Drosophila melanogaster: one gene and its partner. The protein of the gene in region 2 interacts with the protein of the main gene of each other region in a pairwise test. Each region holds a gene or a part of one and is shown on either strand. Other genes may lie near its edges.

Region 1 (4,713 bases), on a different chromosome or scaffold from region 2:
AGGACCCTTCAGCAGGTATAAGGTCGATCTCTCTTCGGAAAAACTCAGTGGCACGTTCTGCTGTTTTTCCTGTTTGCCTGGTGGCAATGTTTACATTGTAAACATCTGGACCGGAAAATTCACACGGTTGGTGGACCAAAAGCAGATGAACATTTTCCCACAGCTGCAGTGGTTGCAACTGAATAGATCTTAATTTGTAGAAAGACCGTTTTTTAAACAAAGGACGTAAGGTTTCCATGTGAAATCAACAGGTTTCTTGGAAAAAGGGTGCTCCTTTGTACCGTGCTGCATTTTCAGCTGCATTTTCCAGACTCGAGCAACAGGTAGAGATTCTTTTGGGAAAACTCTGTGGTAATGCTACCATTTTCGCTGATGCCCTGGTAGAAGAGTTTTCCATTTACACAACAATTTTGGAAAATTCACACGATCGGGACAGATGTATAGATTGCATTTTCCCACAGCTTCACCAGCTGCATCTTCAAATTCTTAGGGCATCCCGCTTTTTTATGATTCTTTTTATGTGGGAGGTCTTCTTTTTCGAAAAGATTTCAGCTGCACTTTCCCATGCCGCGTGCAGGTAGAATTCTTCGGCTTTTCTTCTTAAAATGCTACCGAAATTGCTGTGGGCCTATTACATGATTCTTCAGGGGTGTCTTCAAATTTTAAGAATTCTCACGATCTTTAAAAGATCAAGGATCAGAATAGTTTGATTTTCTTCTTATGCAACAAGTCCTGCCTGCAGTTCTTTGAAGATTTCCAGATTTTCCAGCAACTGCTGTTTTCGTTTCTGATTTCCTGATCGAAAACTTAACAAATTATAAGCAATTTTGAACATTTTCACACGCTGAAAATTCATTTTCCCATAACGTCCCAAAGGGCCAACAATGAAAGGATCAAAGACAGAAAATTCTCACGAATTTTCCCAGTGCTTCCACATGTGCTAGCTACCTGCTCTATCACATTTTCATTCGATTTCCCGTAGTGGCGTGCTAATTTTACTGTCAGCCTGTTAGATATTTTCCGAGGTTTCCCAAGCATCTCTAATATTTCACACGGTCAGCCCGTGTCAAGAGATCTTTTCATGATTTTGGGACTACACCAACCACGATTTTCTTTAGCCTGTGCCGATCATTGTTCTCACGCATCTGCCATCCAGATTGTGGAATCGGGACGGGGAATGTGGAAACGTTAGAATGAAAACCCACACACAAAGCGATCTCTGGTTTTATGTGACTCCAAATTCGAGGAATTATTTCTAAGGCTTGGAATGTTGCAGCGGTCCCTTTGAGTGGCTCAAATTCCAGAAATGGTTCGTGCGGGTACCTGAAAAAGGTCCAAATCCAGTTTGTCATCTTATTTTGCGTTGGTACTCAAGAGTCCACTGAAATGATTCTGTGCTCCTGGTGAATTGGTTGGAACTGGCATCTTTCCTTTTTTACTTCTTTTTTTTTCAAAATTGATAAACCAAGTAATAAACCACGAGGCTTTATAATTTGGATGGAGCAGGTGGTGCTACGAATTCGCTTTATAATCTTCATAAACAATACAATGTTTACCCAGCTGGCAGTTTTTGGTGCTAATTAAAGAGGCTATAAAATCTTTTTAACTATATGTACTTATTTATCTTGGTTTTGCTTAATAATCTACTTAGTTTATATATTTTTATTAATTCGCTTCTGGAAACAGCACTTCAAGTTTTCTTATCAAAACTTTATAGAGCAAAGTACATATTTATAATGCTGGTAATAGTATTTATATTTATTTAAACATCAAAAGCTATACAAATTAATAAATGCTGTAATATTTTCATTGACTCGAATGAATTTGATTTATGTAAGGATACTTTAACTGCTGATCAGGACCTCTACACAGCTCATAGCATTGGTTACAAACTTGAAGGGATTCCGGATGGTATCGTTGCGAGGATTGATCTCCGACAGAGAAACATATGACTTATTCGGACACGATTGCTCTTCAAAGGATCCACAGATCACCTTATTGGAAATGCAGGAGTCGATGAGTTGCAGCGCCAGTTCCACTTTGGAGGTAATAGAGTACACCTGGCCAAAGGAGCACTGCCAGGAGTTCCTAATGCGATTATCAGCCGTGCATTCCGAACTCTTCAGGTTGGTATTGAAAGTATTCTGTGTGGTGATGGTATACTTATTGGCATCACCAATCTGCAAGTGTAAAAAGAAGTCTCAGGATTCTGCTCTTAATAATATAGAAAGTTGTAATACTTACCACCTTGGTTACACAGAGTGTGTAATTTAACTGGGCAGTTGGATGAAGTTTTAGGCATTGTGCCAAACCATTCTTCACGTTATTTTTATAGTAGTTATTCAGGGTGTTGTAGGTGCTCTCAGGTGCATTTAAAATGCCACTAATACTTTCCTTACACTTGATAATGGAGTCCCTGGCCACGGTGATCGTTGGTATAGTAACACTATAGTTCTGTACGCATTGTTTGCTCCAGGAATCGATCAGGATAATGGGATCCAGGTGAGCGGAGGCTTGTTCCAATTTTAGCTGCATCGAATCTGCTTGCACATCGAGCGCATTGATTTGCTTCTGAAATAGCTGCTTAAAATTGGCTAATTCATCTGCCAGCTGTTTGATCTTCGCGTCATATTGCCGCTGATTCTGGAGTATATAGAGATCCATGGACTGGGAGCTGTTCTGCGCCTGGCTAGCCACCAGGCTCAGAAGAGCCAGAATGATTGCTACTCCCAGAAAGCTCTGCATCTTGACTGTGTGCCGAACGATTGGGAAGCCTCTGTTTATATATACTCTCTACTTTCTTATCACTCTACGTACTTCCCCTGCAAAAGTCGTCGTATCAGCTGCGGCTCCCCCATAATGAATTTTATTTGCAAGCTCCGAAATCCGCCTCTATATTTAATTGGCTTTCATTTACTTTTCAACTCAAGAATTGTTTACATAAGGTTTGGCCGTTGTTCCTAAGAATTTGTGTGGTTATCCTCTCTTATCGGGGCCTTTTATAGGCGAAAAGTTAAAAATTAATTACGTGTGCCAACTTAAAGCTCTAAACAAGGTTATTTAATGGGAACGTCAACGTGTGTCAATAAGGAAGTTTTTATTGATTGGGGACTCACACAAAAACAGTTTGTATGAATGGTTCAAAATATCATATTACAAAATGGCAAGAACATTCCTTCTGTTGGGTCTGGTCAGGAAGTGAATACTATGCGAACATTTGTAATTGTTTCGTAAATTGTATTTTTTAACAACCTAATAAGTTGTGCGATAACTTTGAAATACCAGCGTTTTTTTCAACTCGAAAAGGTTGTTCAAAGTGTAGAGCAGTTTCGAAAATGAGTTCCTGAATGAATGTTCAATTTGCTTTCCAAAATTTTATAATTTAAAAGTGTTTGTATTTTCAATGGACAAATCAGTGGGAAGTCACACGGCTTAATCGCGACATAATGAATGTGAGTATTATCAGCGAATGATGCATATATGTAATTTGTAATCTAAATGCTGTTTTCCATACACCTCATAAAAGGCAATCCCCATTTGTTGTTGATCTCAACAAATACTATAATAACAATTTTTAAAAACGCTTTTTCTTATTTGTTTTATTATTTTGCTTGCAAATTTTAATCGAATCTCAATAAAAAGTTTGAAAATTCTTTCTCGCACTTTCACTTGCTGTAATGGATATCTGATTAACAATATGTCGATATACCTTGCTATTTAAATGATTTTGCAAACCTGATCGAATTATTGTCCATAAAAGGCCACTAATTATTGCCACCGCCCACTGCAAATCCACCAAGGCGATTGCGGAACGGAACTTTCTAGTATTTCAGTGTTTTTTTTTTTTGGTTTATTAAGTATACGAATAAATATCATAAAAAATAAAATACAACAAACGCTTAGGTTAGGCGACAATTACAATGCGAAACCGAAACAAACGCAACATTTGCAGGATTAGTTTGATTGAAACGGGCGGATCGGGATCTCACTCAGTGCTGGACCAGTTTGAATCGGGATGCCTCTGCATAATCCCTGGCATCCGAGAAGTTGCGTTCCGGCTTAATGCGCACATCGTTGGGATCGTTGACGAACTCGCCACTCCAAGTGGTGGGCAGTACCGTGGGCTCGGTGTTGTAATCAAAGTAGTCCTGGTCATCGGATCGATTGCGCTCCTGTTTGATGCGGGTCTCGCCACTCTTCACGAAGGTGCCATCCCATTCGGTGGGCAGGACAATGGGTTCCGTGTTGAATCCGTAGAAGTTGTTGGTATTGGTTACGTTCTGGTTCTGGCGACGTATCTTGGACACATTATTGACAGCTCCATCCGGATACACGAACTTGCCGTTCCAGCCCTCGCACTTAATGGGTATGTAGTCCTCTTTCTTGCGCAGCGGCATTTTTGAACTCTGTTTTTGTTTTTACTTTTCCAACAGTTCGATCTATTCACAACGAGATTGCAAACACGATTGAGTCGCATTCGAGCAGGTCTTATTCTAAAATATGATTTCACCTTGTTTGAGCGCAAAACTCGTCATGTAAATGATTGTTATTTGCCGCAGAGAGTCGACCCCCGCGATTTCCATTTGTTTTGCTCGTATTTTGAATCGCTGACGTCAGGGGCGCGGATCTTAACGCGATTTCTTCCGACAGCTTCAAACGGGTTCAGACACTCAGACACTGGCAGAAAATGTTCGATGTCAAACGGGTGAAAAG
Region 2 (4,941 bases):
ACAGCAATATCTTTTCAACATTTTTCTTTTTTTTTAAAGAAATTTTATTTTTCAAAGTTCTGTGCTTCTATTATTTCTCCAAATTTTAGCTCCCTTTTCCGAATTTGAGCCTAAAATTTCGCGCCAAAAAACCGAATAAAGCCATATAGGTGAAGTGGAAACTGAGAAATAAGGGACACGAGAAGGCACGGAGACGGAAAAGGACATTTTTGCCTGTGTGACAAAATCGCTGACTACGTGTGTGTGCGTGTTTTCCTTCTCGCCATGTAACGCTATCTCGCTTCTACACGCACACACATGAACACAAGCCCGAGACTCCGCCCACTAAGCGATCGCGATGAGATGAGAAAAAAACTCACCACAGTCCGGTAAAAAACGCTCAACTCACTCACTCAGTCATACACACACACACACACATTCACTCGCTCTCCCACTCTTTCTCACCGAGAATGCGCATTCCCTCTGGCACTTGCCTTCTCGTTCTTGCGCACATGAAACTGTGTAAAATGGTCGCCTTGCAGGGGGCGTTGCTTTATGGCCGTCTTTTTCGCACCCATGCGAAAGTGCCGCAGTGTGAGCGAGAGGGAATGCGTTTGTGGATGGAGGTTTTGAAAGCAAGAGTAGAGAAGATGCGACGTTGTAAACGAATTTGCATATTTCTACTGCTTTACGCTTATTGCATATTTTATTCATTACGTTCTGGCGCTTCGGCGGATGAAAACCCAAGAAAAGGCGAAAAGCGAAGGAAAGTGTCATATGGCATTCCGACTACCGTTAGCTCTGCGTGACATCGGTCCTCCCTTTCGCACGCACAATCTTCATCCTTCTTTTTGCTTCTTGTTGAGCTTCTTCCTTTTTTAAGCTTTATAATTTATAAATTCGTTAATATATAAAAAAAAAGTTGCTTAAAATTCTAAATTCTCAGTTCAAGATATAAAAAATTCAACAATTATTCCTACGAAAATCCTTTTAAATAATTTCTTATAAGCTGTTAGCTCAATCTGAATACAGTCCCAACTATCTCTGGTTTTGTATATTTTTTCTGTAACTTAGAATTAATATTTAGTGTTTTTTTTAAAGCTGAGCTTTTTGTTTTTACTTTCATTTGATTACCAAGTATTTCCAACCCAAATATATACATATATATATGGTATATATATTACTTAACTAATAGCTACAATCATATTTACGTCTTAAAAGGATTCTTAGCTGTTTTAATATCTTAAAGCTGTTTCCAGATTTCATATACTTAAGGTCATAACAATGCCAACATCCTAGTTTGTTTTTTATTTGGCTCCTTTTACCCGAAATTGGTTCCACGTATTTCTGCAAATTTGTTTATTTTCGCTTGGCAGCGACTTAATCTGTGCTCCAGTTTTTCGTAGTATCCCCCCCCAAAAAAAATGGACACCATACACACACACATTTAACGGTTAAGCCGTTGTCCTTTTTTCCCAAGAAGTCAAAGGATGCGATTCGAATGTGCGTGAGTTATCCGGCGTGTTGTTATCCTGGCTCGGACCAAATAGGATACAAAAAAAACCTAGCATAAACCGGTTCTGAGTAAGTGCTCAATTACTCACACACACACACACACACATGCAAAGAAGTGCTCACTCAAAACGAAGCGAAACGAGGCGAATTCGTGCCTCTGCCTCTGCCGACGTCGACTGTGCTGCCGTGGTGGGTTTTGTGAAGCAAAGCGTCGAGCAGAGTGGCGAATAGCGTCATTCAAAATTGGAATTCTGTTAGTAAACGTCGACACTTCATATGAAACGAAGAGCGGAGATCACAGCGGAAAATCCAGGGGTGTACGTGGGTTTAAAACGCACAGAGGGATTTCACTCAAAGAAAGAAAGAATACGTTTATACTTATATAGGGTTAGACCAGGAGGGTAGGCTACGTATAAAGACAAGAAGAAGGAAAGCAAAGAAAGAATGGCCTCGCCAAGTAAAGCTGAGAGCATAGAGTGTAGGGATTACACAGAAGGGCTTTAAAAAGAAAATATGTAACCCACAAAATAGCAACTACAAGACTACCCACGACTTGGGTGTCAAAATGCTTGTCATTCGACAGCACGGCGAGGGGGAAAACCTATGCTAAGCTGGCCTTAGCTTTTTTGCCCGCGTGTGGTGAACATAACACGGGCCAACCCACCTCCCCCCACGCGATGGGGATTCCCCACTTTCGCATTCTGCCGGCGTCGCTGCGAACGTCGCTGCCGGCTTCTTGCACTTTGGCGCTCGGCGTCGTCTTGGCCCGGTTATTTGTTGTTTTTTTTTTTTTTTTCGTTTTTCGGGCTTTTCGGCTTTTTGGATCGTTCTCGGCCAGCAGTCGCCGCCTGTCACACGCTCACGTCAAACGCTTTTGCCGTCGCGTCGTCAGATAAACCAAATGTCTCGCCGTGTTTACGTGTGATTCCCCTTTTTTGCTTCAATCCGAAGGCAAAATAAATACACTGACCTTAACCGATACGGCTCACCGTTTAACCGCTAACCGTTAACCGTTTCGTGGCCGTCGACGATAAGGAATCAAGAAACAACATCACCCTGCAGATTCTGTTTTGTTTTGTTTTTTTGTGCAGTCCAGAATTTTTTGAAAACCTGACAAGATTAAAGAAAATTGTGTTTGAAAAGTGCGTAAAGTGTGGAGTATTTAAACTTAAAAAAAAAAACATATATAAAAATCAAACAACAGCAAGGTGGGAGGTCCAAAGAATATAAATAAAAAACACACTGGTTTCCGCCTGAGATTTTCAAAATACCGTTTCAGATCATGAAAACATAATGGTATACAAATATATTATGTTTATGCTGCCCTTGGAAATAAATAGTATACTATCAAAAAAATCTACTCCTTGGTTTTTCCCTACTTGAGAAATGAGAAATTTACAAACATTAAATGTAGAACTACTGATAATTACTTTCAATATTTTGGTGATCCAATGAGTTAATAGGAAAGTCCTTAAACAAAGCGTGGTGGAACTCCTTCCCATTATGATAATCACATCGCATAACACCAGGGAGATTGTCTAGATTGATTGATCCAACCCCCAGGAGATTCCCCATCCCGATCTGCTCAAGCGCAACGAAATCGGAACCATTATCCAATTAGCTAACTCTTTCCGAACCCGTATCATCAGTTTATCGCCTCGTCAATTGTTTTCTCATACTTTTTTCGCTACTTAACTGATGTGACAATTTGTAGCCATTAGCCGGAGGCAGTCAGTCAAACAGTCGCTAGATTTGCAAGTTGTTCAGGCATGACAAAACAAAAAAGAAAAAAAAAAAAAAACTATATATATGCAATGTATGGCGATGGATAAGGGGGGGGGGGAGAGTTGGGGAGCGGGGTTCCGGAGACGAGATCACGATCGCATCTCGACACGCAGCTAAAAGTGTAAATCAGCTCGCCTTCCATTATGTCAACAATCTCTTTGTCTGTCCGTATTATTTACATTTGTCAAATCAAATTTGACAGCTGCGGAAAACATAATATCTCAAGTCGGCGTCTGCGGCACAGTCCGGTTTTTTGTATGGGGCCTTATTCAATAGGGAGGGGATCAAGGGGATTCGCGGAGGAGATCGTAGCCGCCTAGGACCACCGATACAAACTTGTATTCAGAACTGGATTTGTCGCTTCGCTCTGTTGTGCCAAACGAACTGAGCCATGAACACAAGAATGAATACTTGGCCAAGCACTCGATCAATCTGGTCTCACACAAAGTTCTTTCACTTGAAGATGTACAAAAATAATTAGACATTTTTCTATTTATCTATTGTTATACGGAAAAGGATTTAAAACGTGCAAACATTTTGACTACTTGTTCTAATTTCGAAATACTAAGCCTGAAAATCAAGGATATTTATAAATCTAATATTCCAAGCCACTGGCTATTATCATTCGCGTTTACAGAGCAATGTTTTGTAGGAAAGGATTTTCCCCAGCACCAAAATAATTTTCTCTTTCGAGTAGTTTATTGCACTGCTTATTAGCGATTAGTGACTTTTATGACTGTTTAGAAACGTAGTACTCAACCCTTTTCGAAAGTAGGTAACAACCCTTAACCATTTGTATTACATATTAGAGAATGTTTTCTTCTTGTTTCCGAGGGAACATGCATTTTCTTTTTGATCCTCATTTAGTAGGGATTACATTATTACACAGTTGGAAATATATATTGTCTTGATCGAATTACGGAATTAAGTGTTATATATACCTAAAATAGTTCCAAAATACCACAACACATAATACCTATATCTTTTGCTGACTTCACCAATTAATTGGTGAGGTTTCCAGTCGGGGTTGTTCGTTGGTAAGCTGCTAACGGACTTATGACATGGATATGGCTATGATTCGGGAATCACGATTCAGTATTCCGTATTCCGTATTCGGTGGGGTATGTACTGTGTACTCTGCTACTATAAAATGCCAGCTCCATTGTTGTTGCTACAACCGGCGGAAGAAAACGGAAGAGGGGATTGTATTTTTTGGATTTCGGGAATTGGGAATGGCCTGGATGCGGCACTTATCCTTGTTTTTTTTTTTTTTTTGGGGTTGAAGGCAACAAACACACTGCACACTTAACCGATAAATACGCACCACATCTATATTATATGTGTGTGTACATACTCGTATATGGATGCGTGTACGTTTGTACATCCGATGGACAGATCCTTTGTATCCTGCTATCCTGGCTCTATCTATTGACTGACTAACACGCCAGCTGACTTGGCAGGGGAGGAAGAAGCCAAGCGCTGGGGAAGTAGAACCTGGTCCTGCTGTCTCGTGCAAAGCTGACTGACATCCAGCAACTTCCTTTGGCCTCAGACTTCAGCAGCACTCACGCAATTTTCCTCCACACAAAAACCCCCACCTAGCTGATGATGGCTTGCCGGGGGTGGTTCTCATTCGGGCGATTTTCCAACGTGTTGTAATCC

What was found.
Region 1: the proteins of bi (region 2) and CG42807 interact in a two-hybrid assay, tested with the Drosophila melanogaster proteins (one large-scale study listed by BioGRID).

Annotation. Positions count from the first base shown.
Region 1 is NT_033778.4:13,569,786-13,574,498, forward strand, and holds CG42807 (uncharacterized protein), read right to left. Parts: upstream 2,975-4,713; 5' UTR 2,746-2,974; coding exon 2,245-2,745; intron 2,181-2,244; coding exon 1,845-2,180; 3' UTR 810-1,844; downstream 1-809. Other genes in the region: CG42808 (uncharacterized protein), read right to left, coding at 3,990-4,397.
Region 2 is NC_004354.4:4,411,110-4,416,050, forward strand, and holds the start of bi (bifid), read left to right. Parts: upstream 1-1,746; 5' UTR 1,747-1,811; intron 1,812-2,352; exon of another isoform or gene 2,353-2,790; intron 2,791-4,941. UniProt on the Drosophila melanogaster protein: Essential protein that may function as a transcription regulator. Vital for pupal development. Required for proper development of the optic lobes and wings, and abdominal pigmentation.